Linked DNA regions of Kluyveromyces lactis. The protein of the gene in region 1 interacts with the protein of each later gene in a pairwise test. Links are inferred from orthologs where the notes say so. Each region holds a gene or a part of one and is shown in the gene's direction. Other genes may lie near its edges. The genes, in order: SEC27 and PRO3.

The links.
Region 2: the proteins of SEC27 (region 1) and PRO3 interact in a protein complementation assay, tested with the Saccharomyces cerevisiae proteins (2 studies listed by BioGRID). The link is inferred for Kluyveromyces lactis from reciprocal best matches to the Saccharomyces cerevisiae genes SEC27 and PRO3.

What each region holds. Positions count from the first base shown.
Region 1 is NC_006038.1:163,373-182,303, forward strand, and holds SEC27 (coatomer subunit beta'), read left to right. Parts: upstream 1-7,273; coding exon 7,274-7,291; intron 7,292-7,523; coding exon 7,524-10,178; downstream 10,179-18,931. Other genes in the region: KLLA0_B01892g (uncharacterized protein), read left to right, coding at 1-2,483; KLLA0_B01914g (transient receptor potential ion channel family protein), read left to right, coding at 3,180-5,549; KLLA0_B01936g (uncharacterized protein), read right to left, coding at 5,631-6,845; MRM2 (21S rRNA (uridine2791-2'-O) methyltransferase), read right to left, coding at 10,338-11,207; RPL1B (60S ribosomal protein uL1), read left to right, coding at 11,870-12,523; KLLA0_B02024g (uncharacterized protein), read left to right, coding at 13,213-14,796; Arf family GTPase SAR1, read left to right, coding at 15,274-15,846; GTPase BMS1, read right to left, coding at 16,121-18,931. UniProt on the Saccharomyces cerevisiae protein: The coatomer is a cytosolic protein complex that binds to dilysine motifs and reversibly associates with Golgi non-clathrin-coated vesicles, which further mediate biosynthetic protein transport from the ER, via the Golgi up to the trans Golgi network.
Region 2 is NC_006040.1:914,936-919,966, reverse strand, and holds PRO3 (pyrroline-5-carboxylate reductase), read left to right. Parts: upstream 1-3,459; coding exon 3,460-4,317; downstream 4,318-5,031. Other genes in the region: JHD2 (histone demethylase), read right to left, coding at 290-2,842.

The sequences.
Region 1 (18,931 bases):
GCATTAACAAAAGCATTTTGAGTTTCGTGAAGATATTTTACGACACAGACAAAATAATCAAAGACTTCAAATCAAAATACTCATTAGCATCCAAGAGATCAGGTGATATAGATTCTAGGGTCTTATATCTTTCTCCCTTAGCGAACACTCTTTTCATGCAGTTAAATGGGTCTCACTTTAACAAGTCTTGGAAATTATTGAAGGCTTATCTAGAGCAACTCACTGTGCTTGAAAGGAATTATGACACCTGCTTTGAATTAGTTTCAATGATGGACTTGGTAATGAGTATACTACCTATGTCATTGAAACAACGCTTAGACTTTCTCACTGCGAAGAAACTCAAATCAAGGGCAATTTTATTCTCCACATGCGTCCAAGACTTCCAACAAATTTTCAAAAAGCTTGATGATAGCGTGGATTATGTAAATAATCACTTCTCCAATTCTTCGAATAATGACAAGTCCAAGTTAATTGCAAATCAATTGAGAGCTTTAAGGTTTTATATCGATGATATTAAAAGGAATAACTCCAGCGTTATACTGAAGGCAAATTCCGAAAAAGAACGTACAGACGTCACATCCCCAAACAAGTTTTTGAAAACCAGTTCGAGTCACGATGAAGATTCTGATTCAAATGACGAAATGGAACAAATTAAGTCTTTTATCGACTCCTTGGAGGAAAAAAATGTTCATCCTGACGGTATCAAACTGTTACAAAAGGACTTCAAACGGTTCATGAAGATGACTCCTCAGAATGCCGATTACCAAGTTCTAAGAAACTATTTTGACATTGTGATGGACATTCCGTTTGGAAAAACTGTCAATATCTCAACTATAGATTTGGCAAAAAGTAGAGCAAAATTAAATGAGGATCACTATGGATTGCAAAGTGTTAAGCGCAGGCTAGTAGAATATCTCAGTGTCTTAAAGATATCCGAGATTTCTACCAATGATCCAAACCTTAATACCGACCTTCATCCTAAGAAAGACAGGGCTTCTATCAATAAGCCGCCTATCCTTTTGTTGGTCGGTCCTCCTGGTGTGGGTAAAACATCTATTGCTAAGAGCGTTGCTGATGTTTTAGGTCGAAAATTCCAAAGAATATCTCTCGGTGGTATACATAACGAAGCAGAAATTAGGGGTCATAGGAGAACATATGTGGGTTCGATGTGTGGTTTGATCATTGGTGCTTTAAGAAAAGCGGGTACAATGAATCCCTTAATTCTTTTAGATGAAGTAGATAAAGTATTGAGTGGAGGGGTTGGTGGATTTGGTAACAGAGTTAATGGGGATCCCGGCGCCGCACTATTGGAAGTATTAGACCCTGAACAGAACTCTACCTTCTCGGATCATTATGTAGGATTTCCTGTTGATCTTTCACAAGTTTTGTTTTTCTGTACTGCAAATGATCTCGAAGGCATCAGCGAACCTCTTTTGAACCGTATGGAGCTAATTGAGCTTCCTGGATATACTCCAGATGAAAAAATTATGATTGGCTCCAAATTTCTCTTGCCTAAACAGATAAAAGCGAATGGTCTTGATGCCATTAAAGAGCTACCTAAAATTTACTTGACAGATGAGGCATGGAACTGTGTTGTCTTAGAGTACACGAGGGAACCGGGTGTTCGTGGATTGGAACGAAGAATTGGTGCTATAGTTAGGGGTAAAGTTGTTGAATACGTGGAGAACAAAATGATACAGGGTGAAGTGGACAAAGAACATTTATACAAGTACCTTGGTCTTGCACACCATCCAATTTCAGAGGAGATTCTTGCTCCAACTGAGCATTCAGAGAAATTTGGTGTTGTCAATGGATTATCCTATAATTCGGACGGCAGTGGCAGTGTATTGCTATTTGAAGTGATAAAGATCCATACAGATGAGAGTGGAGCTACAAACGGCCCATATATAAAGACCACAGGTAATCTAGGAAACATCCTAGAGGAATCCATCAAGATTGCAACAAGTTTTGTGAAACATATACTTTTCCGTGGGTTGATTCCTGGCGTGAACGAGAAGGATATCAATGAATTTCTCACATCTGAATATCACCTCCACGTTCCAATGGGCGCTGTATCAAAGGATGGACCCAGCGCAGGCGCTGCAATATCCTTAGCAATCCTTTCTTGCGCTTTGAAGAGACCTGTTTCTCCTAAACTCTGTATGACGGGGGAGATAACGCTTCGAGGTAAGATCTTGCCTATCGGTGGAATCAAAGAGAAACTATTGGGGGCACAATTTTACCACATGAATCACGTCCTAGTACCCTCGGCTAACCTATCTGACGTTGTTCAAGCCGTCTCTACGGACAATCAAGAGCAATACGAAATATATATGGACCGTTCGAGACAACCAGAACTACAGAAACTCAAGGACAAGACACAACTACAATTACACTACTGTTCCGATTTCTTCGATGTAGTCAAGTATACCTGGCCTGAACTACTGAATAAAGAAGTGTCACACAGCAGACCATCTTTGTAATTGAGTGTGGCAAGTACGTACGCATATATATGTCGAATAAGAACAAGAGCTTGGCTATGCTTCCTGTTATTCAGGCAAACTCATATTTAAGACAATAAGGGAATGAATAACAACTAGAAACATTTTAGTTCTTTACTTCCCATAGTATTAAGTCCAGTTGCAGCCAAGCACCACTTTCTCAGTACAGTCTTCCACGATAATGTTTGTTCGCGTCCTTTTTTTTTTTTTTTCTTTCTTTCTTTTTCGGTTCGTGTCAGGAATGAAGCTCTAAAGAAACTTCGCATGGTCGAATCGAGAAATTCAGAACTGAAGAAATCATGAAATTCAGAGGATGAGAAACCGGTGGATGATGTTTTAAAATAGACTTTGATCTGTAAGGAACAGACATTTATCAAGGGAAGCAGAAGAAGAGGGATAACTGGCAAATAATTGGCTAGCTGGCAAATGGGCGAAGGGCTTATCAAATTTTAAACAAAGAATAACCTAACCTCACGTCTGTCGGTGAAAAAGCGTTAATAAAGGAAAATAGATCAGGATTTTAATTTCGGTCCGTGGGAAATACTGTGCTTATTTTGATTTGATCTGACTTCTGAATTAGTAAAGGAAAAGAAGCCCTTATTATTCATTTAGTTGGTTAGAAAGTGTTGAACGCTTGATAACTTATACTTTTTTCCAGCTAAGCTTTCTCTTTTGAAGATGAACATGGTAATAAGGCTGTGGGTGCTTTTGTCCCTTCTTGTATCAAATGTGTTTGCTAGACGTAGTTTGATTGCTACCTCGTTGGTATCATGTATGGATAACTCTGAGTTAACGGCTAACAGTTTTGATGTGGTCTTCAACCCGGATGACGGATCATTGCGTTATACTTTGGATATAACTACCGATATCAATGGGTACGTCATTGCTCATGCTGAGGTGTACGCATACGGATTCAATATTATTAACAGACAGATTGATCCCTGTGATTCAGATTGGAAACAGTTCTGTCCTTTATACCCTGGAGTGATTGAAATCGATTCAGTCGAATATATATCTGATGAGTATGTCGATATGATCCCAGGGATTGCATACCAGGTGCCCGATATCGATGCGTACCTTAAGCTTATTGTGGTGGAACGTGATACGAATGGGATCGTTGCCTGTATTCAAGCTTTCTTTTCTAATGGGAAGACAGTCTCGCAAACGGGTGTCAAATGGGCCACTGCTGTTATCGCTGGTATCGGGTTGTTGACTTCTGCATTGCTATCCGCCTTCGGTAACTCTAACGCTGCTTCACATGTGGCTGCCAATACTATGTCGCTTTTCTTGTATTTCCAATCGGTGACTGTGTTCGCCATGGAACATGTTAACACTGTGCCTCCTATCGCCGCTGCTTGGTCCGAAAACTTGATGTGGTCCATGGGATTGATCCGTGTCACTTTCATGCAAAAAATTTTCAGATGGTATGTTCAAGCCACTGGTGGCACTCCGACTCTATACTTAACCTCAAAGACAATTTCTGTTTTGGTTCAAAGATCCCTAGAATATCTGGAAAGTACCCGCATCTATAAGCGTGCGGCAGAAGTCTTGTATGGTAATTCCAACGTTCTAATCTTCAGAGGTATTAAACGTTTAGGTTACAGTGCCAACATCGAAATTACTTCTATCGTTGCTACTGGGTTAACATTCTTTATATTATGTGGGTATTTCCTATTTGGGTTGATCATTTGCGCCAAATATGTCGTCGAACTATGTATCAGAGCCGGATGGTTGAAAAACTCGAGGTTCATCGATTTCAGAAAGCATTGGAAGATCATATTGAAGGGTGCTCTTCTGCGTTACATTTACATTGGTTTCATTCAAATTACTATTTTATGTTTCTGGGAATTTATTCAAAGAGATTCGCCGGCTCTCATTGTATTGAGTTGTCTATTCATCATTATGGTTTATGGTATCCTCGGTTATGTGTCACTCAGAACAATTTCTTTTGCTAAACGATCTATTCAGTTACACAACAATCCAGCTGCTATTTTATATGGTGACCAGAGGGTCTTGAACAAATACGGTTTCTTCTATACTATGTTTTCCGCCAATTATTATTATTGGTCCTGCGTTATTATGGCCCAAAACTTTGTCAAAGGTGCGTTCATCGCATTCGCGCAAGCTTCAGGTAAAACTCAAGCTCTTGCTTTGTTTATTATTGATTTGGCCTACTTCGCAGCCATCATCAAATTCAAACCATATTTGGATCGTGCCACAAATATCCTCAACATTTTGATTTCAACAGTCACCTTAGTGAACTCATTCCTATTCTTGTTTTTCTCTGATTTGTTTGGGCAACCTCAGCCAGTGGCCTCGATTATGGCTTGGGTCTTCTTCATTATGAACGCTGCATTCTCTTTGATTTTATTGATTCTAATTCTTGTGTATGTGGGCTTTGTCATCTTTTCGAAGAACCCTGATGTCAGATTCAAACCAGCGAACGATGACAGAACATCATTCCAAAGACAATCCGCGAATGTGGGTGCTATGGATAAATCTGTCGCTGATGAACTAATGGCTCTTGGCACTGTCGCTAAAGAACATGATGGGGACTGGCAGGAGATGCTAGTTACCCAGGGTCAACAAAACACCGAATCAAGCACAGATAATCTTAACGATGAAAAACTCGAGGCAGCAGAGGAAGCTAATATTAGTAGGAAACATTCATTCAAGGATAAGATATTGCGTAAAATGTCATTGAGGAGAAATAAATCCACTTCGTCCAGGTTAACCGCTGGTAATAGACAAGCTACCGTCACTGCTTCGCATCTTTCCGGTGACTCTAGCTCAGAATCAGAAACGCCAATCGTTAAAACTATTAAAGGGACTCACACAAGAGCAGTGTCTGAGGCAGAAAACGGACTAATAGATAACAGTAGTGATTTTGATTTTGTTACTGACACACAACTCGATACTCCAACAGCTTCACCCCATCGTAAAACTTCGATAAGTGATAGCATAAATTTCAATAGTACTACGGATATGAATGCTACATCCTCAACAGATATTTTCCAACATAACAATAACTCCTACTACAAGTTGTAAATATGAGTGCCGTTTCGTTTCTAAACTCGTATATTATATAAACTTTTCATCGTATTAAACAAATGTATTATCGATTTTTGACTACGGGTGCACATATTCAAACAATTCATCTGAGACGTGCATATTATCCCAATAGTTAAGGAAAACTGAGCATTTTTCTAGTACTCGTGTTAGGTTTGCTGCCATTATTTTATCCGTAATACTTAAAGTTTTCCATAACTTAGTTGTGGCCACTTTATTCAATGTCCTCCAAGGTAAAGATAGTTTGTCCTGTTCTATGGTTGAAAGCTGAAGCAAAGGCGAAATAATATCTTTCAATTTTTCTGTTGCCAACGTGAGTTTGAAATTATCTTCTTTATCATAATGATATCTTTCTGAAACTTCAATCTCTTGAAACCAGGACAACTCTTTTGAGGATTTCCTTCTTGAATACCAATCGATGAGAAGTTCTTTTGTGGAAAGTTTGCTCTTGAAGTCAGGTATCTGGGACATACTTGTATTCATGTAATATGAGCTCAAACTAAAGTTAGTCGGAGCCATAGACAAATTCGGGGTCTGTAAGTATGGAACATATGTCTTTGTTTTTCGCTTTGACAGGAGAGTGATGAATGGGATTAATTTCTTAGCCATAACTTCTGACCAGGAATCAGAATAAGTCGATGCATACAATGGCTGAATTGGTATCGAATTAGATAAAGAACAAAATTCCATTGCATTTGATGTACTTATTCCATCACTCTGTAAAGATTGAAATATCGTTTGTTTGGCATCCATATCCACATCACAATAAAACAAACCGCCAACCCAAGTGTAGGGTATAAAAACATCAAATGGACGGATCGCATACTTCTTTCTTCTGGCCATTTTTAAACAATGAAAGTTCTTCAAACTATTATTGGGATTTTCCTGTTCTTTAGATTCAAAAAAACACCACGGTTGGTTCCAATCCTTTACATCATTAGTAAGTTGCTTCTCAGTTTCAAAGACAACTTTACCCTCGTTACAATAAGTTATCTTCAAAGCTTTCCCTGATCTTTTATATAGCTGGTGAAAATAAAATACCCTGTGTACTTTAAATCCAGTGAAGAGCTTTGTATCTCCAGGCAAAGAATCTACTGGAATCGTTGCCCCACTCCATATCTCAAACGTTTTCTTCATATTCATGTTGGCAGAGTTGAAACCTACCGCACAAGCTTTATCAATTGTATGAACAGGGTATAGTGCTTTCCCGTAAGCAAAATCAAAAAATAGAGCAGAACAAAAGAGAATCAACAACCATAGTTGACCTTTACTCATTCTATAACAAACCACACAACTGCTGTAGCTTCTAATAAAATGAGACTATCAAGACAAATAGCAGTTGTTCTGCTGAATAGCCTAAATCGCGCCCTTTGTCGAACAAATATAATAATTAGTAATATTCTTCAACTTTAGCTTTGAATACAAAATGGAGAAGATTGATGTAATATTAGGGGAAATAAGTCATATAGCTCGTAGTACTCTCGAGCCGAAACGGTTCAAGTTGATGCTTTATTTATGTGACACTGACACTGACATCAATATCATAATAACATTACCCGGTCCTATGCCATGTCCATCAACGGCTTTGAAAAAAAAATGTTTGAAAGGGGAATTTGAATAATAAAGATCCATTCATGATTTTAACACGTTAGTTGAAGAAAACATCGAAGGTAGAGACCCAACAGAGCGGAAGGAAATTAGCAATGAAACTTGACATCAATGTATGTGACACATTGTGTACTAGAGTAATTTGTGAGGTGCTTTTATCACGGAGAATCGCTGTTGAACGTTAGCAATTGCATATTAAGTATCTTAGGCGTTTTTCTGGTATCAATACATTTATGTTTTATGTTTTGATTCAACAGATTATATTTCTTCAGCCCTTATCAGCAACTAAAAGAAAGAGCTTTTACTAACATTTTTTTCATCTATGGTGACTTTATTTGTCTTTAGAAAAAGCTCAGTGCCAGAACTGACAGGGTTAAGGGCATTGACTTTCATCCTGAGGAACCTTGGGTTTTAATTACCTTGTACTCAGGAAGAATTGAGATATGGAACTACGAGACGCAAACGCAAGTGAGATCTATTCCATTATGTGATGCTCCAGTGAGAGCTGGTAGATTCATTGCAAGAAAGAACTGGGTTGTTGTTGGTTCCGATGACTTTAAATTAAGAGTTTATAATTATAACACCGGTGAAAAAGTGACCGAATTCGAAGCACATCCTGATTATATCCGTTCCATTGCTGTGCATCCAACGAAGCCATTCGTTCTGACAGGTTCTGATGATCTGACTATTAAGTTATGGAACTGGGAAAAGAATTGGGGCTGCCAACAAACCTTTACCGGTCATGAGCACTTCGTCATGTCTGTTGCATTCAACCCAAAGGACCCCAACCAATTTGCCTCCGGTTGTTTGGATCACACTATCAAAGTTTGGTCGATTGGTCAAGATGTTCCAAATTTCACCTTGAAAGCACATGAAACTAAAGGTGTGAATTATGTCGACTATTACCCGTTACAAGATAAGCCTTATTTGATTACCACTTCCGATGACGGTACCATCAAGGTGTGGGATTACCAGACAAAATCTAATGTTGCTACTTTAGAGGGACATATGGCTAACGTGTCATATGCTGTATTCCATCCGACTTTACCTATCATTATCTCAGGTTCCGAGGATGGAACTCTCAAGATTTGGAATGCAAATACATACAAACTAGAGAAAACGTTGAACATCGGGCTTGAAAGAAGTTGGTGTATCGCTACTCATCCATCTGGTAAACGTAATTACATTGCATCGGGTTTCGACAATGGTTTCACAGTTCTATCCCTAGGTGATGATCAACCAAAATTATCTTTGGATCCAGTTGGTAAGTTAGTTTATTGCGGTGGTAAAGCATCAGCCACTGACGTCTTCTCTGCCATCATTAGAGGTAATGAAGAGGTAGAAGAAGGCGGTGCCCTTCCTTTGCAAAGCAAAGAATTAGGGTCGATCGACGTTTTCCCACAAAGTTTGAAGCATTCCCCAAATGGTAGATTTGTCACTGTTGTTGGTGATGACGAATTCATTGTGTACACTGCTTTAGCATGGAGAAACAAAGCTTTCGGCAAATGCCATGACTTTGCATGGGGCCCAGATTCTAATAGTTATGCGTTAATCACGGAAACGGGTGCAGTGACCTACTACAAGAACTTCAAACAAGTATCTTCTTGGTCAATTCCGCTTGATTACGGTGTCGAAAAAATCTTCCCTGGTTCAGTATTAGGTGTCAAAGCTGACGGCTTCGTATATTTCTTTGATTGGGAATCAGGTAATCTAGTGAAAAGAATTGATGTCGATGCTAAGGATATAATCTGGTCAGATAATGGAGAGCTTGTTATGATCATCAACAAAGACCATGAAACAGACTCTGCTGAAGAAGCTAATGCTTACGCTCTGTTGTTCAATAAGGATGTTTACGATGAGGCGGTTTCAGCTGGAAGTATTGATGAAGATGGTGTAGAAGATGCGTTTGACGTATTATACGAAGTTTCAGAGGGTATCACGTCAGGTAAGTGGGTTGGTGATGTCTTCATTTTCACCACCCCAACAAATAGATTAAACTACTTTGTTGGTGGTAAAATCTATAATCTTGCACATTTCGATAAGCAGATGTACTTATTAGGTTATTTGCCAAGAGATGATAAAGTTTATTTGGCTGACAAAGATATCCATGTTTATGGTTATGAACTATCTATTGATGTTTTGGAATTCGAGACATTGGTACTCAGAGGCGAACTAGCTGAGGCCAAATCATCCGTACTACCTAATGTTCAAGGAAAAGAAAACTTGCTAAAGATCTCTAGATTTTTGGAGGGACAAGATTTGTTTGAAGATGCCTTAGAAATTTCACCAGACGCTGAGCAGAAGTTTGATCTAGCTATTAAATTAGGCCGACTATCACTGGCGCAAGAAATATTGTCCGAGCAGGAAAGTGAGAACAGATGGATTCAATTGGGTGATGCTGCCTTAAAGAAATTCAATTTCACTTTAGCTTTGCAATGTTATGAAAAGGCAAATGATCTAGAATCCCTTTTCTTGTTATATTCTTCATTCAACAATAGGGAAGAGTTGGTTTCATTGGCAAAGAATGCTGAGACTTCTGGTAAGTTCAACCTAGCTTTCAATGCTTATTGGGTAGCAGGTGACATAGCTGGAGCAAAGGACTTGCTATTAAAATCTAATAGGGTGCCAGAAGCTGCCCTATTAAGTTTAACATACGGGGAATCGGCAGAATCCATCAACACTGTAGTAGACGTATGGAAGCAAACTTTGATCAATGACGGTAAAGCCGCAATTGCTGAAAGAGTTGGAGTTGTCGGTAAGACAGAAGGTTTTCCATCAACGAATACACATACCTTACTTGATTTAGATACACCAAGCGAGAGCATAAAAGAAGCGGCTCCTGTAAACCATAAGTCAGAGGAGGATGTCGCAGTTGAAGAAAAAGCGTTGGATACCGAGGAAAATAAGGATGAAGATGAAGATGAAGAAGCATTCAAGGATTCATCTGAAGAGCCTCAAGGTTCAAAAGACGATGATAAACCCGCTGCAAAGGCGGAATAACTGTACGTTCCCCAACTCCTAAAAGAAAAAATGAACTACGATAAATTCATAATCCGTAAATAATGTATTAATATGCTAGTATATTAACATGAACTAAACGATTACAATCCGTGAGTCTTGAAGATTCTATCAAACTGTTTAAAATATTTACAAGTACAATTATTCCTCTAAAAACACCTTCAATTTATCTATATCAGTTTTCTTCCCGCGAGCCACGAAATACAGTTCTTTTGATTCATTTCTCGATGCATTGGGTTTGAATCTGTCGACTTTTTTGAATACCTTTTTAAGTCTCTTTTCAAGAAGGGTATCTTCGCTTCCAGCATATAATTTACAAGTGAATGAACCTCCCGGTTTTAATAGGTCGATTGCTACAATTAATGCAGCATCACATAAGTCCATCGACATATAATGATCTTTACTTTGTATGCCTGTCGTGTTTGCCATCATATCGCTAAGCACAACATCGACCGGGTATCGTTCGATGTTCTGACTGATATCTGTCTGTGAGAATAGCTCCTTATACTCCTCTGTTTCCTTCAAATGGTTTAACTCTTCCTCTAGCATGTGCTGGAGATACCCATGATCCTTATGTAATTGATCATGCTTGTTTAGCTGGATATGACGAGCAAAGCAAAGTCTGATCAATTCATGAGTCTTTTTCGATAGGATGTTAGCCTGTAACGAATACACTCCCTTTGGCGGAGTACAACGTAACAAATCAACCCCCATGATCATTCCACCTGAACCGATCCTTTTCCTCGCTACTTGTGACCAGGCACCCGGCGCAAACCCAAGATCTAAAACTTTCTGATTTTGTTTGAAGAACCGGTATTTATCATCAATGTCCATTAATTTGAATGCTGCTCTGGACCTAAACTGCTGTTCCTTTGCAGCCTTGGTGAAATGATCATTCTTTTGCCTCGCTAACCAACGGTTCTGCGCATTAGAATTGTATCTTACTAGCCGTAGCACAAACGGAGTGCACCTATACTGAGGTGTGATCAAAGGCTGTAACACAGAATTCATCCCTACAATGATTCAGTATTCGCATGCAGCACCGTGCTACCTTTAACTGTCCAGGTATTGCATATTTGACATTTTACAGCCTTAACTTTTGATTGTCAGTACATATTCCACAGGAGAAACCTTAAAATATAACACCGATGAGATACAAATAAAGGTGAATAAGGAAGTACGTGCACTTTGCGAGTTCTCTAACAGGACGGACTACGAACTATGCAGCTTAGAGGACAACTTCAAGTCTCATCTGGACCTTATGATGCTACTTGGCAAGCGAATAGCCATTAACCCACACACCGCATAATGGTTAAGGATAGTGACACAATTTAAGATTTGAAATTCTTCCTAATTAGGATATTGTTGGCACTGAAATAATAAACACCCAGTCACCGCACCAATTTTCAACAGTCCCAGCATTTTTGTACCCACTCCTGGCCAAAGCCTACAGGAAAACTGAAAAATTTCAGATTGAACCACATTGGAATAACAACATATGATGAAAACAGCTAATCAATCGGGACGTTGTTCTCTTATTCTCTCTTGATATATATATTTTTATATTGTTCGTATTCTGTTTGTTTTAGAATTTAAAAGAGCACAGTCGCAAGCCTATTAAACGGACCACCAAATACTTTTGGAAGACTCTCACCACTCATAAAACATCAAAGATGTCTAAGATTACTTCCTCTCACGTTAGAGACAACGTCAAGGAGTTGTTGAAATACTCCAATGAAACCAAGAAGAGAAATTTCTTGGAAACCGTTGAATTGCAAGTCGGTTTGAAGAACTACGATCCTCAAAGAGACAAGCGTTTCTCTGGTACTTTGAAGTTGCCAGTCTGCCCAAGACCAAACTTGTCCATCTGTATCTTTGGTGATGCTTTCGATGTTGACAGAGCTAAGTCCTGTGGTGTCGACGCTATGTCCGTTGAAGATTTGAAGAAGTTGAACAAGAACAAGAAGTTGATTAAGAAGTTGGCTAAGAAGTACTCTGCTTTCGTCGCTTCGGAAGTTTTGATCAAGCAAGTTCCAAGATTATTGGGTCCTCAATTGTCCAAGGCTGGTAAGTTCCCAACCCCAGTTTCCCACAACGATGATTTGTACCAAAAGGTCAACGACGTCAAGTCCACCATCAAGTTCCAATTGAAGAAGGTCTTGTGTTTGGCTGTCGCCGTCGGTAACGTCGAAATGGACGAAGACACTTTGGTCAACCAAATCTTGATGTCTGTTAACTTCTTGGTCTCCTTGTTGAAGAAGAACTGGCAAAACGTCGGTTCCTTGGTCATCAAGTCTACCATGGGTCCAGCTTACAGATTGTACTAAGCCAGCAACAACTACTGCCTTTTTAGCTTCCTATATCATTCTCTATTATTAAAAATGCATATATAAAGTTTTCAAATAACAGGATATTACTGGTTTACTCGTCTTCACTACAACCCAAACTTCCCGCAGAAGAAATCCGCTCGAGCCAAAACCTCGGACCGTTGTGGTCCATTTCCCATTATTATATCGCACAAACTATTGATGCGGTGCTTTCTTTTTCATCTAAGCATTTTTCCTCTTTACAGTGAACTTTTTGCTATTTATCCGGTGATTGAAAACACTGCAATTTCGGACCCAAATTTTGCTATATTTACTATTTATTATACATATATATGACTGTGCTACTGTATGGATACAAATTCAGTAAAAGAGAAAGACCAAGGCCCCACAAGCGAATAATAGTTAGAGCATCCTTTCAATACATTGCTGCTGCTTAAATCTGGGTCTCTACAAACAGAAAATAGCGGTTTGTTTTTAGGAGTATCTCCGCATTGAGGGACGAAGAAGTATCAGTTAAACTGAGTTTTTGCTTCAGTTTTGGTATTTGGTTTTGGTGAGTTTGAAACTAGCTTCTATTTATCCTCTAGGGGTCCTACCAGTGTTTTTATCGTTACTATTTGGATTTGATTTGCGAGATCAGTAAACAGCATCTTTTAGTAGCGTGTGCTGACCACATTTTTTGAAAAGAAATGGTTTTAAGTGGCTCTACATCGCCTAGAAACGCGTTCATTGGGGACAAGCGTGATTGGTTCAAGGTGAACGGTGTTTTGGATAGGGAAGAAGAATGTGATCCAAGTGATTTCGACGTTGAGGATGAAAGTTTTGGGTTACCTTTGAAAAGTCGACATCTAGACGGAAACTTCGATGATGTGTTACATACCGCCGATTCTAAAAAAGTGCGGTTCGCTGAAGGCAAAAACAGGATGACCGTGGAACAGCTATTGGAAAACACTAGTAACTTGAATATGTTCTTTGAAAATAATATAGAAAAAATTACGGACTTCAAATCCGGTTTGGATGTACAGGAATGGTATAGAAGTACAACGCCAGATACTCCGACAGGCATAAGTGCGAAAGCTACCGCGTCAGCGGGATCTGCATCTAATTTCCAGCTCAGTGAAGCTGGGGATAGAGACAATTCTACTGCGGGTGGCTTGGAGTCCGATCAAGAGAGTAATGTTTTCGATCGTCGGCTTTCAAATCTGTTGGCAACGACCTCGGTTTCCGATTATAAGTTGAACAACGAAGATAACAATAACTCTCACAACGAGCTGAATGGATTACCCAAATCTTTCCCCCTGGAAAAAATAGATGACCAAAGGGATAGTACACTTCTTATACATTCGTTACTGAAAACAAATTTAAACAATAATGAGGTGTTTGGTTTAGAAATGACATCCAGAGAAGCCTTACAAATACTCGATGATTTCCTGCAACTCGCTCTCCTATTGTCTTCTGATATGCGTAAGAATGCTGAGAATGGTATGACAAATCATGAAGGCGAAGTTAATGATAATAATGATGATAATGCTGATGATGATGATTCTGATAATAATAATAATAATAATAATAATAATAATAATAATAATAAAAATAAAAATAATAGTAACAATAATAATGCCAGTAGCGATGGCGATAATATTAACAATGATGATAATGACAATACTAATGATGAGAATAATAATCAAAATAATAATGATAACAATAGAAATAGTGATATCGGTGGCGACACTTCTAATGACAATGATAATTTGCATAATGAGCCCTCTGCGACCAAGTCAAAAACCGAAGATGACATAGAAATGGAGATAGATCATTGGTCTCATGAGAACCTCGAAGAAACTTCCAATATTAGAGCAATCTTTCAGATGAAATCAGCTCCTACTCTCTCCATATCCCAATATCTCGATAGAATCGAATCCAAATGTTCATTCCCGCCAATTATCTATTTGACAGCATCCTTCTTGTTAGTTACCTATTGCGACATAAAGTTCGACACTGGAAGTGGAAAATTTCATCTAGAAAACCCGATCACGGAATCCATGACGCATCGTTTGCTCATTGCATTCATCCGTTTGGCTGCCAAGTTACTTGAAGATCATGTACACTCCCATTCGTACTTTAGTAAGGTGTGTGGTATCTCTAAGAAACTTCTTTCTAAATTGGAACTGAATTTAGTTTTAATTCTACAAGACACCCAAGACGGTCTTCTTATCACTGAGCTTTCAATAAAAACTGTACTCGCACTACATGAGCATATAAACCTGAGCTGATGGTCGCCATTGTAATTTCCGGCGCACTCTTGCATCAACTGTATTTGCATAAAAGGAAGCAGTTACTTTTAGCACAAATTGATATTTCTAATGAAAAAACAACAACAAGCAAATCTAAAAAGTTGCAATTTCCATACACCTCCGTAATAACTGATTCCAAAGCTCTTTCATAAACGCACGTTCACATCCTGCATTGCTCTTTTATACCAAGTTATATTCACATAGTTGTAATGTGTAATCTTATATCAATCGTATCAAGTGATTTCAATTAATAGGAAGATCAAGAAACATTTGACCGTTTTACGAAAATGAACAGATTGGTCTTTCAAAAGAACAAAGGCAGGCATATTTTAAAAACAAAGTTTATGATCTTCATTTAGTTACTGTTAGTTAGTAATTCGACTTAAAAATTACGGCACTTTAAGCTACTAATTCTTTATTGACTCTTCATTTGTTGTACGGAAAATACAGTAAAAGATGGCAGGCTGGGATTTATTTGGATGGTTCAGGGACATTCTATCATCCCTAGGATTATGGAACAAGCATGGTAAGTTATTGTTCTTAGGTTTAGACAATGCTGGTAAGACTACCTTGTTACATATGTTGAAGAACGATAGATTAGCTACTTTGCAACCAACTTGGCACCCAACTTCTGAAGAATTGGCGATCGGTAATATCAAATTCACCACTTTTGATTTAGGTGGACATTTGCAAGCACGTAGATTGTGGAAGGATTATTTCCCAGAAGTTAATGGTATTGTGTTCCTAGTGGATGCTGCTGACCCAGAGAGATTTAACGAAGCACGTATTGAATTGGATGCTTTGTTCCAAATCAAGGAATTGGACAACGTTCCATTTGCTGTCTTGGGTAACAAGATTGACTCTCCAAGTGCCGTTTCTGAAACTGAATTGAGAGCTGCATTGGGTTTGATGAACACAACTGGATATACCAAAATTGAAGGTCAAAGACCTATCGAGTTGTTCATGTGTTCCGTTGTCATGAAGTCTGGTTACTCTGAAGCCTTCAAGTGGCTATCTGAATATATTTAAGTAGTTAAGCAAGCGCTACTAACGATATATAATAACTGCAAATATCACCTAATAAGCATGGAGAAGAATAACTATAATCATATATGCATAAAATACTTAGCTATGTTTCAGAATCTCATGGTCTCTTAGAATTGCATTAACATAGAAAATCTCCAGCTCAGAATCAACTCCAAATGCGACTCTTAACTAATACAGTAGTTCATTTTGGTTCTTAACAATTACTTTATACTCTATCATTCAAATTATGCAATGTAAATAGGTTAAAATACATAGTTTATTTCCTTTTCTTGGAAGACATAACATCACTTGTGTCATTGTCGTTGAATTGTCTTTTTTTACCGTTTTTGGAGAAGAAGTCCTTCTTACGTTGCTTCTCCTTTTCTTTCTTCGATTCCTCCAACTTAGCAAGCTTCTTGAGTCTTTCCTTCCTTTCTTCAGCTTTCTTGGATCTCTTCTTTTCATCCTTCGCATTCGAAATGGTGAGAACCTTTTGCATGAAGGAACGTGCCTTTTTCTCTTCGCCGCCTAGAACGACAGCTCTCTTAGCCATGTATGTTTTCTTCTTTTGCGGTTTCATTTGATAGATCTGGGATTTGAAAGGTAAGTCTTTGGCAACAGATTTTGGTACCTTTAAACCGTTGAAGTTCCTTTCAACTCTTTCAACCTTCTTATATGTACTGTCATTGTTGGTCGGTAAATCGATTCCAAGAGATGCTCTAATTTGACCAGTTAGTCTCAAACCCTTCCATTCAGTTTTATCTTTTAGCAACAATGAAGTAACTGGGTTGTAGAATTTCTTAACTTGGATTGGATACCATGACCTAAGAATTATAATGTCACTCAATAGTATCTTATCCTCAAAAGTTGCCCTGAAATGGCCTTCTGGTTTTGATAGAGCACGCTTGATTTCACCACGAATACCGGAAACAGTCTTGATTTGGGCACCTTCGAACCGTGCAACTTCCATAGCGCTAGAGAACATATCCTTTATGAAGGCAGTGTTCTTGAAGATTTTGTAAGGATAACCAACAAGCTTTAATTTCTTCACAATTTCTACGCTTGCATCGATCTCCTCTACAATACCAGTCGCAGCTATTCTGAAACTTCCAGTTGTATCACTGTTAGCAACTATTTGAACACCACAGAAAGTGGTATTTGGCGAGCACAAGGGACCATAGAAAGAAGCTGTACAATAAGCATGTTCTGGAGTATACTTCAACATTCTAGTCCTGGTTCTAGAGTCACTAGTGGTGTATATTGGTAGAGTTTGGAAACGTCTCCAACCAAGAGATAAAACTAAAGGATCATTTGTCTTGAGAATCTTTTTGTGCCAACGATGTCTTCTGACTCTTGCATTAATAATTCCGAACTTCAATTCTGTGGGAAGAAGACCTCCCATAATTACTGGATACTTTGGGTTGAAATTTTCGATGAATTCCATAGGAACCTTATCGAAGACAATACGAACATAAGACCCAGCTTTCATACCTTCGATTTGTTGCCTTTGTTCAGGAGTCATAGATTCCAGTTCGGCTTTATTGATTTCTAATTGTTTAGCAATCTTAGCCTTCTGTAATTCGTACCAGGTATCGTATTCATTTTCAGGGTCTTCTCCAAAGTTGTCTCCTTCTTCCATTTCGAATTGTAACCTTAATTTCTCTTTTTTTGCGGCATTCAATTCACGCTCTTCATCCTGGGTCAAATCCTTCTTTTCTTCTTCTTCGAAATCAGCGAACGATTCGTTGCTATCAGATTCTTCATCTCCTGCAGCAGAATTCTCCTCCTTCTCATCTGTGTTTTCAGGCTCAGCTTCTAAGTCCTCAAAATCACCGTATACTTCATCTTCATCATCGTCTTCATCCTTTACATCATCAGAAGACTTGGTGTTTAAGGATGGCTTTCCAACAAATCTGTCTTTGATTGAATCGGCAGTTGACCATCTTTCAACAAGGTCATTGAATGTATCAAAATAAGGAATAAATCTTTCAAGATCATCGTGGTAAGTTACTGCCTTATTCGGTGTAGTATTTGTCTTTTGGGTGAAGAATTCAGTATCTTCATCGTCTTCTAGATCTTCTTCAACTTCAGTTTCGTCGGCCTCGCCGTTCCATCTTTTGATTGCATCAGCTGGAGCAATGTTGTCCATGTAGATAAGTTTGCTGATATCCCACTTTCTTCTTTTATTCTTTGTACCATTCAATTTACCAGCTGTGGTTCTTTCCCAACCTTCAGAATCAGATGCATCCAATTCTGAATCTGTCTCAAAGGCCATGTTTTCAGGTTTTTCGTCATCAAAATCAATTTCAACTAATTTAGTGCGATGTGCTTCATCTTCGTCATCATCTTCATTATAGTTTTCGTTGTCACTTGATAAATTATCGAGATCTGCGTTAGATTCCTGAAGGGATTTGCCGTATACTCTTGCCTTTCTTAAGGAAGATCTACCAACGTTTCCTCTATCAACATCATCCTCGTCTTCGGTGTCTTCTTCAACTTCTTCATCCTGATCTTCAATAGCATGTAACTCAGTACTATTTGAGAAAAGCTGCAATCCAACATTCTCGAATTTTTCATCAATGGAACGAGATGTAGCCTGTAGGTTGGACACGATCTTGTCACTTTCATCTTTTTCCTCTGCAGTCATTGAGTTTGGACCTGTCTTACCGCCAACATCAATGAACACGGCATCCTTATCCATAAGTAAACCACCAACGTCAGACATTGGAGCATAGATCAGCTTTTGTTTATCATCCAATCTTTTACGTCTTCTTACAGTCGTTGCTGATGTGGAACCTTCTTCCTTAGCACGTTCACGTTCAAATTCATCTAATTTCTGTTGGTAATAAGGTGTCGGACAAGGATCAGGCAATTTCTCAACGTGATCGATCTGGTAGTCACCTACACCGGCGATATGGACCCTGTAGCCTGGAGTCGAAGGTAACGGAGTACCGTGTAAATAACCATAGATGGCGACTTTACGATCTATATGCATACCCTTCGATTGTAAGAGTTCTGGATGAGTTAAATCGGATATTCTATCGGCCAATAAATAAGGATGTTCGTTTCTCCATTGCAAAGGTCTGAA
Region 2 (5,031 bases), on another chromosome or scaffold:
ATAGGATATTATGTTGGTTTCTTGTAACTTTTTTTCAAAGCCTTAATCATTGTTAATCAGAATATGGATTCCAATGTCAAAAGTCAGAATAGGTTTGACAGAATAAAATACAGGATCGCAGAGAATATTACGAATACAATGACAGTATATCTGATAGAATCAATTCTGGTATCATAAAGAACTTTGCATAATGCATATTTAGAAATTAAGTGGTTAATAACAAATTATTTGTATACAAGAATTATGTTTAAAACCAATGAACAGTCTGAAAAAGCGGCTAGGTGACTAGCTATCTAAGCCTTCTGTCCAATGCCCGTTCTACTCGAGATATTAGGTTTCTCACTTCATCTGGCTCCCTAATGTAAACCATTACGTCGTTTTTGAAGTCATCCTCGGATGGATCGTCAGAATTAATTGACTGTCCGGCGTCATCATTATCATCGTCGTTTTCTGCATCCTTTTCATCAACATACTTTAAATATTCCTCCAAGCAGAAGATTGAAATATTTCCATCATTCGAAAGCTGATTCCATTCGTCAGGTGTAGCGGAAGCCAAGTTTCTTCTTTTGCTTCGAAATCGTTTCGAATTGTTATGTACAATGAAGGCTACTGGGCAGATGGTTTTGCATTTTGAGCAAAAAACATCGATGTCATCGTCGTCATCGTCGTCATCTTCATCTTCGTCATCTTCGTCTTCATCAAATTTTTTCTTATTTGATACGCTCCTACCAGGATCTTGATTAGAATCCTTGATAGAATCACTACCACCTTCTTGATCAAGACTAGAGTTAGTGTACGCATCCTCACAACCAGTGGAGAAGATTGTTTCACCGACGATATTTTTCACTTTCATCATGTTTTTAAAATCGGTATTGAACCATTCCTTCAATTCACGGACACATGTGGCTACAAAACTATCATCAAATGTTTCAGGTTTTATCAAGTAGGCGTTCAATACATTGCTCATTAGGTCAAACAGGTTGACGACAGCGGTTCTTTTGGTTTCCTTATAATCATTAATTGATTGTAGCCCATATGGTAACCACAGATCCAATGTGAAATTCACCGCTTCGTTGAAATTGAATCCAGAATTGAAACCTGCATGATAGCATTTCGGATATGTCACAATATATTCTCCTGGGTTTTGAATAGCTTTATAGCAATCAATACCGGCTTCAACAAACCGTTTACTATACGGTGAGACCAGCGTGATCAATTGATGCAATAGATCGGGTTGCCTTTCAAAAAGGTCTGGAGATATATTCTTCATCATTTCATCAAAGGCAGATGTACTACGTTCTGGTATCGAATACCATATTTTCTGTGAGCCTATGTGCTGATAGTTTGCACTAAGAGTGTATTGATCCTCGAGGTGCCAACAGAATGTTGAAAACGTAGACCCAACATAAATCCAAGGAATGGTCATTCCAGAAATTTTTCTGTTGATGATAGAAAGGAGAGATCCTCTGGCTCTAGGGAGGTTGATTAAGTTCCATGGGTGCGAGCTCACTTTCAAGAACTGTTTAAATTCATCAGATTCTTTATCTGTAATAAAAGGCGGAACGTAACCCATAGTTGGGAACCCGGTAGTTTGACCAGGTTTATTTCTATGTATGTCAGCTCCGTACTTGACAGTTATTGGGTTTGGTACCATTTCTTGAACATGTTCCCAGAATAATTTCTCTAAAGTTTCAATATCATTAGGTTTATTTCCAGCAAATTGTTGGTCATCGAAGTTAGCGCAATGTTCTTTGAAAGATTTCAATGTATACAAAGACGAAGGTTCCTTAAACCCATAATATCCATTCCCAATAATACACGTGTTACAGATCCATTCTTGACCATTGGAACCTAAGTTAGGTGTACTTTTCCCAAGACATTTCTTATGGAACTTGAAATCGCATGAATTGCATGTCACTATTGCTACTGAAGAAGACGTAACTTTAGTCGGAACGTGTTTGACACATATTGGGCATTTTTCATCCTCATCTTCATCCTCAATGTTGAAATCGTCAACTTCTTCATCATATCGTAAGCTTTCCGGTAGATCATCACTAAAGATATCATGCTCATTCCCAGAATGGCTATGATCCCGACTTTGGTTCGATTCCTCCGTGGAATCGTACATTTCAAGCAACGACTTCGGATAATCGTAGTTGTATAAAAGCCCAGATACGCTGTTGCGCAGGCTACTACTGTGTTTTGTGGATCGCGTCTTCATCATCTCATTGTATAAAAAGCGATAGTAGGGAAGAATGTGCAGCTTGAATATCTTTTTCGTTGTCGCTGCGTCCAACTGCGGGAACTTCAGGGAAACTTCTTGCCAACAACTTTTATGCTCCATGACGATTTTAGGATCGACTAGTTTGTATTGAGCTTCGCTGACATAGGATCCATCTCTTTGTCTTTTTCTCGAAGTAGAACTTAATTTAAAACTGAAACTGTCGTCGCCAGTTCTTTTCCCTTTCTTTGGATCAAAATATCCGATAACAGCTTTGTATACGTCGTAATAGTAGACAGGTAGGATTTGCCCGTGACCAAGAATGACCTGCGGTGACGATAGCAACTTGGAGTCACCTTTACTTCTTTTCAAATTGTTCAATTGTTTCCAGAAAAGAAGCCTCGATCTATTCTCAATATCTAACTCCATCAAAACCTGTAACCTGCACCTGAAACTAAACTGTTCCTCATCAATACTAAATGCAGGCTTGAAGGACTCCGGAGGAATAAGCTTAATCATCCCGTACTTCATCCCAAGCTTCTTCACCTCATTCGAAGACAAGAACCCAATAGGGTCCAAAAATTGTTCCTCAGAAGGCCTTAGTGTGGGTATTTCCTGCATGGCGCTTTCCCCATTCGAAATCAATCTACACTGAAATGTGTCCAAAGTGTGTACTCTAAATAGCAAACCTCTTATCAATGATAAGACCGTATGTACTGCTGTCAACCTTTCCTTGTGATGAGCTAGCGAAATGCTAATGTTCAGTCACGGGTTTCGAATTCCTACTGGCAACAGTGTGTCACTTTAAGTGAAAAACCAAAAAAAAAAAGTTTGAAAAATTTGGCAAAAAAGAGCAGTAGTGATTGCAAAGAAACAGCTATTCAACAATCCAGCTAGATTATACCTATCTATTCCGTGCTCAATGTGCCTTTCGCAGACCTCTCACTATAATGATATGACAACCTCAATGACTGCCTTTTGTTTCGCTAAGTGTATCCTTTAAGGTCATGAGGGGACAATATGATAGCATGCCAATATGTATGTAAGTTTGAAAAATTGATCAACATGGATTGCTTTTTCAAACGGGCTCAAATTGGATAAATGATCAGATGCGATAAGTGAACATATACATATATATAAGGGGATTGCGTCGTTGGAAGAAGTGATTTTCAGTTTGTATCACTTGTAGCTTGGATCGGTACAATACAGACAGATAGCAGGATAAACAAAGCACAGAAATGAGTCGTTACACTTTAGCTATTGTGGGATGTGGTGTTATGGGCCAAGCATTGTTGAGTGCTATTTACAATGCACCAAAAGCCAGCGATGAAGCTCTTCAATACTATCCAAGCAAGATCATCGCTTGCAATGACGTTCCAGCCAGCGCAGAGCTTGTGGAGAAATTGGTTAGCGGGTTTGAAACTTCGCCAAACGGAATTGAGGTCGAAATTGCTACCAATGATAATGAAAGAGCTGTTGCCGAAGCGAAAGTAATCATTCTTGGATTGAAACCTCATATCGTGGAACCAGTCTTGCAGCAAATCCCTAACGAGGACGGGTCCAAGCTTTTGATCTCTTTGGCTGCCGGTGTTACATTGAACCAATTGTCTCAATACTACAAAAAGGTTTCTCGTGTTATGACCAACACTCCAGCTAAATACGGTTATGGTACTGCAATTGTGTCACATTCTACTAGCGTCGAGCCTCAGGATAAAGCCATTGTATCGGAATTGGTTAGCCAAGTCGGTAAATGTTTGGAACTACCAGAAAAAAATATGGACGCAGCTACTGCGCTAGTCGGCTCGGGTCCAGCTTTTGTACTACTAATGCTAGAATCAATGATGGAAGCCGGACTAAAGATGGGCATCCCATTGAAGGAGTCCCGCGAGTGTGCTATGAAAGTGTTGGAAGGTACTGCCAAGATGGTCGAGATTTCAGGACAAAGTCCTGGTGTGTTGAAGCACCAAGTGTGTACTCCAGGAGGTACTACGATCGCTGGTCTATGTGTCATGGAAGACAAGGGCGTCAAGTCCGGCATTATCCGTGGTATCGAAGAAGCAGCAAGAGTTTCCAAGGAATTGGGCCAAAAGAAGTGAGCACAAACTATCTCTGTACGCTTTATAACAGTAGTCATAATAATAATAATAATAATAGTAGTCATAACATTCTCACTCACATGAGAATGTCACGTGAACAAAAAACAACTGCATTACCCTGTCCACCCCTTAAACCCGTTCACCACACTGTCCTTTCTCGGCCAATCAGATCTCACCTTCAATTTCAGCACACCCTGTCCCCCGAAATATCGTTTCGGCAAGAAACAATTTCAAAGACTTGAGGAAAAATAGGTACTAAGTCAGGGTAATCATATGTCTGCACTGAAAACCTTGTAGCGACTCTCGAGAACGTCTGTTAACACCGGGTAATACCGTGCATGTCCAATACGTGTGTCCCCTTTGTATCTTTGTATAATCGAAAAAAAATTTTCGCTCAAAATCCACAGAAAGAACTGTAGAAAATACCGCGAATTTTATCCAAAATTACGAAATTTGGCAAAAAATGTGTTTTCGCCCTTTCCCAGGTCAAGCGCTCTATTTGTCTGTTCAATTATAATTTTTAAATTTTTTTTTTTTTTTCCCTCGATTCGATTTTTCTGGGTTTTTGGGTTTGATCTCATAGGTTCAAACGGATTTCATTGAAAAAGTTGGTGAAAAGTTGGGAAAATTATATATTGAGATTATAAAAGATATGTTTTCTCCTTTAACCAACTACTTGTTCAAATTTGTTTTAAAGAGAGATTGTGTGGTGTT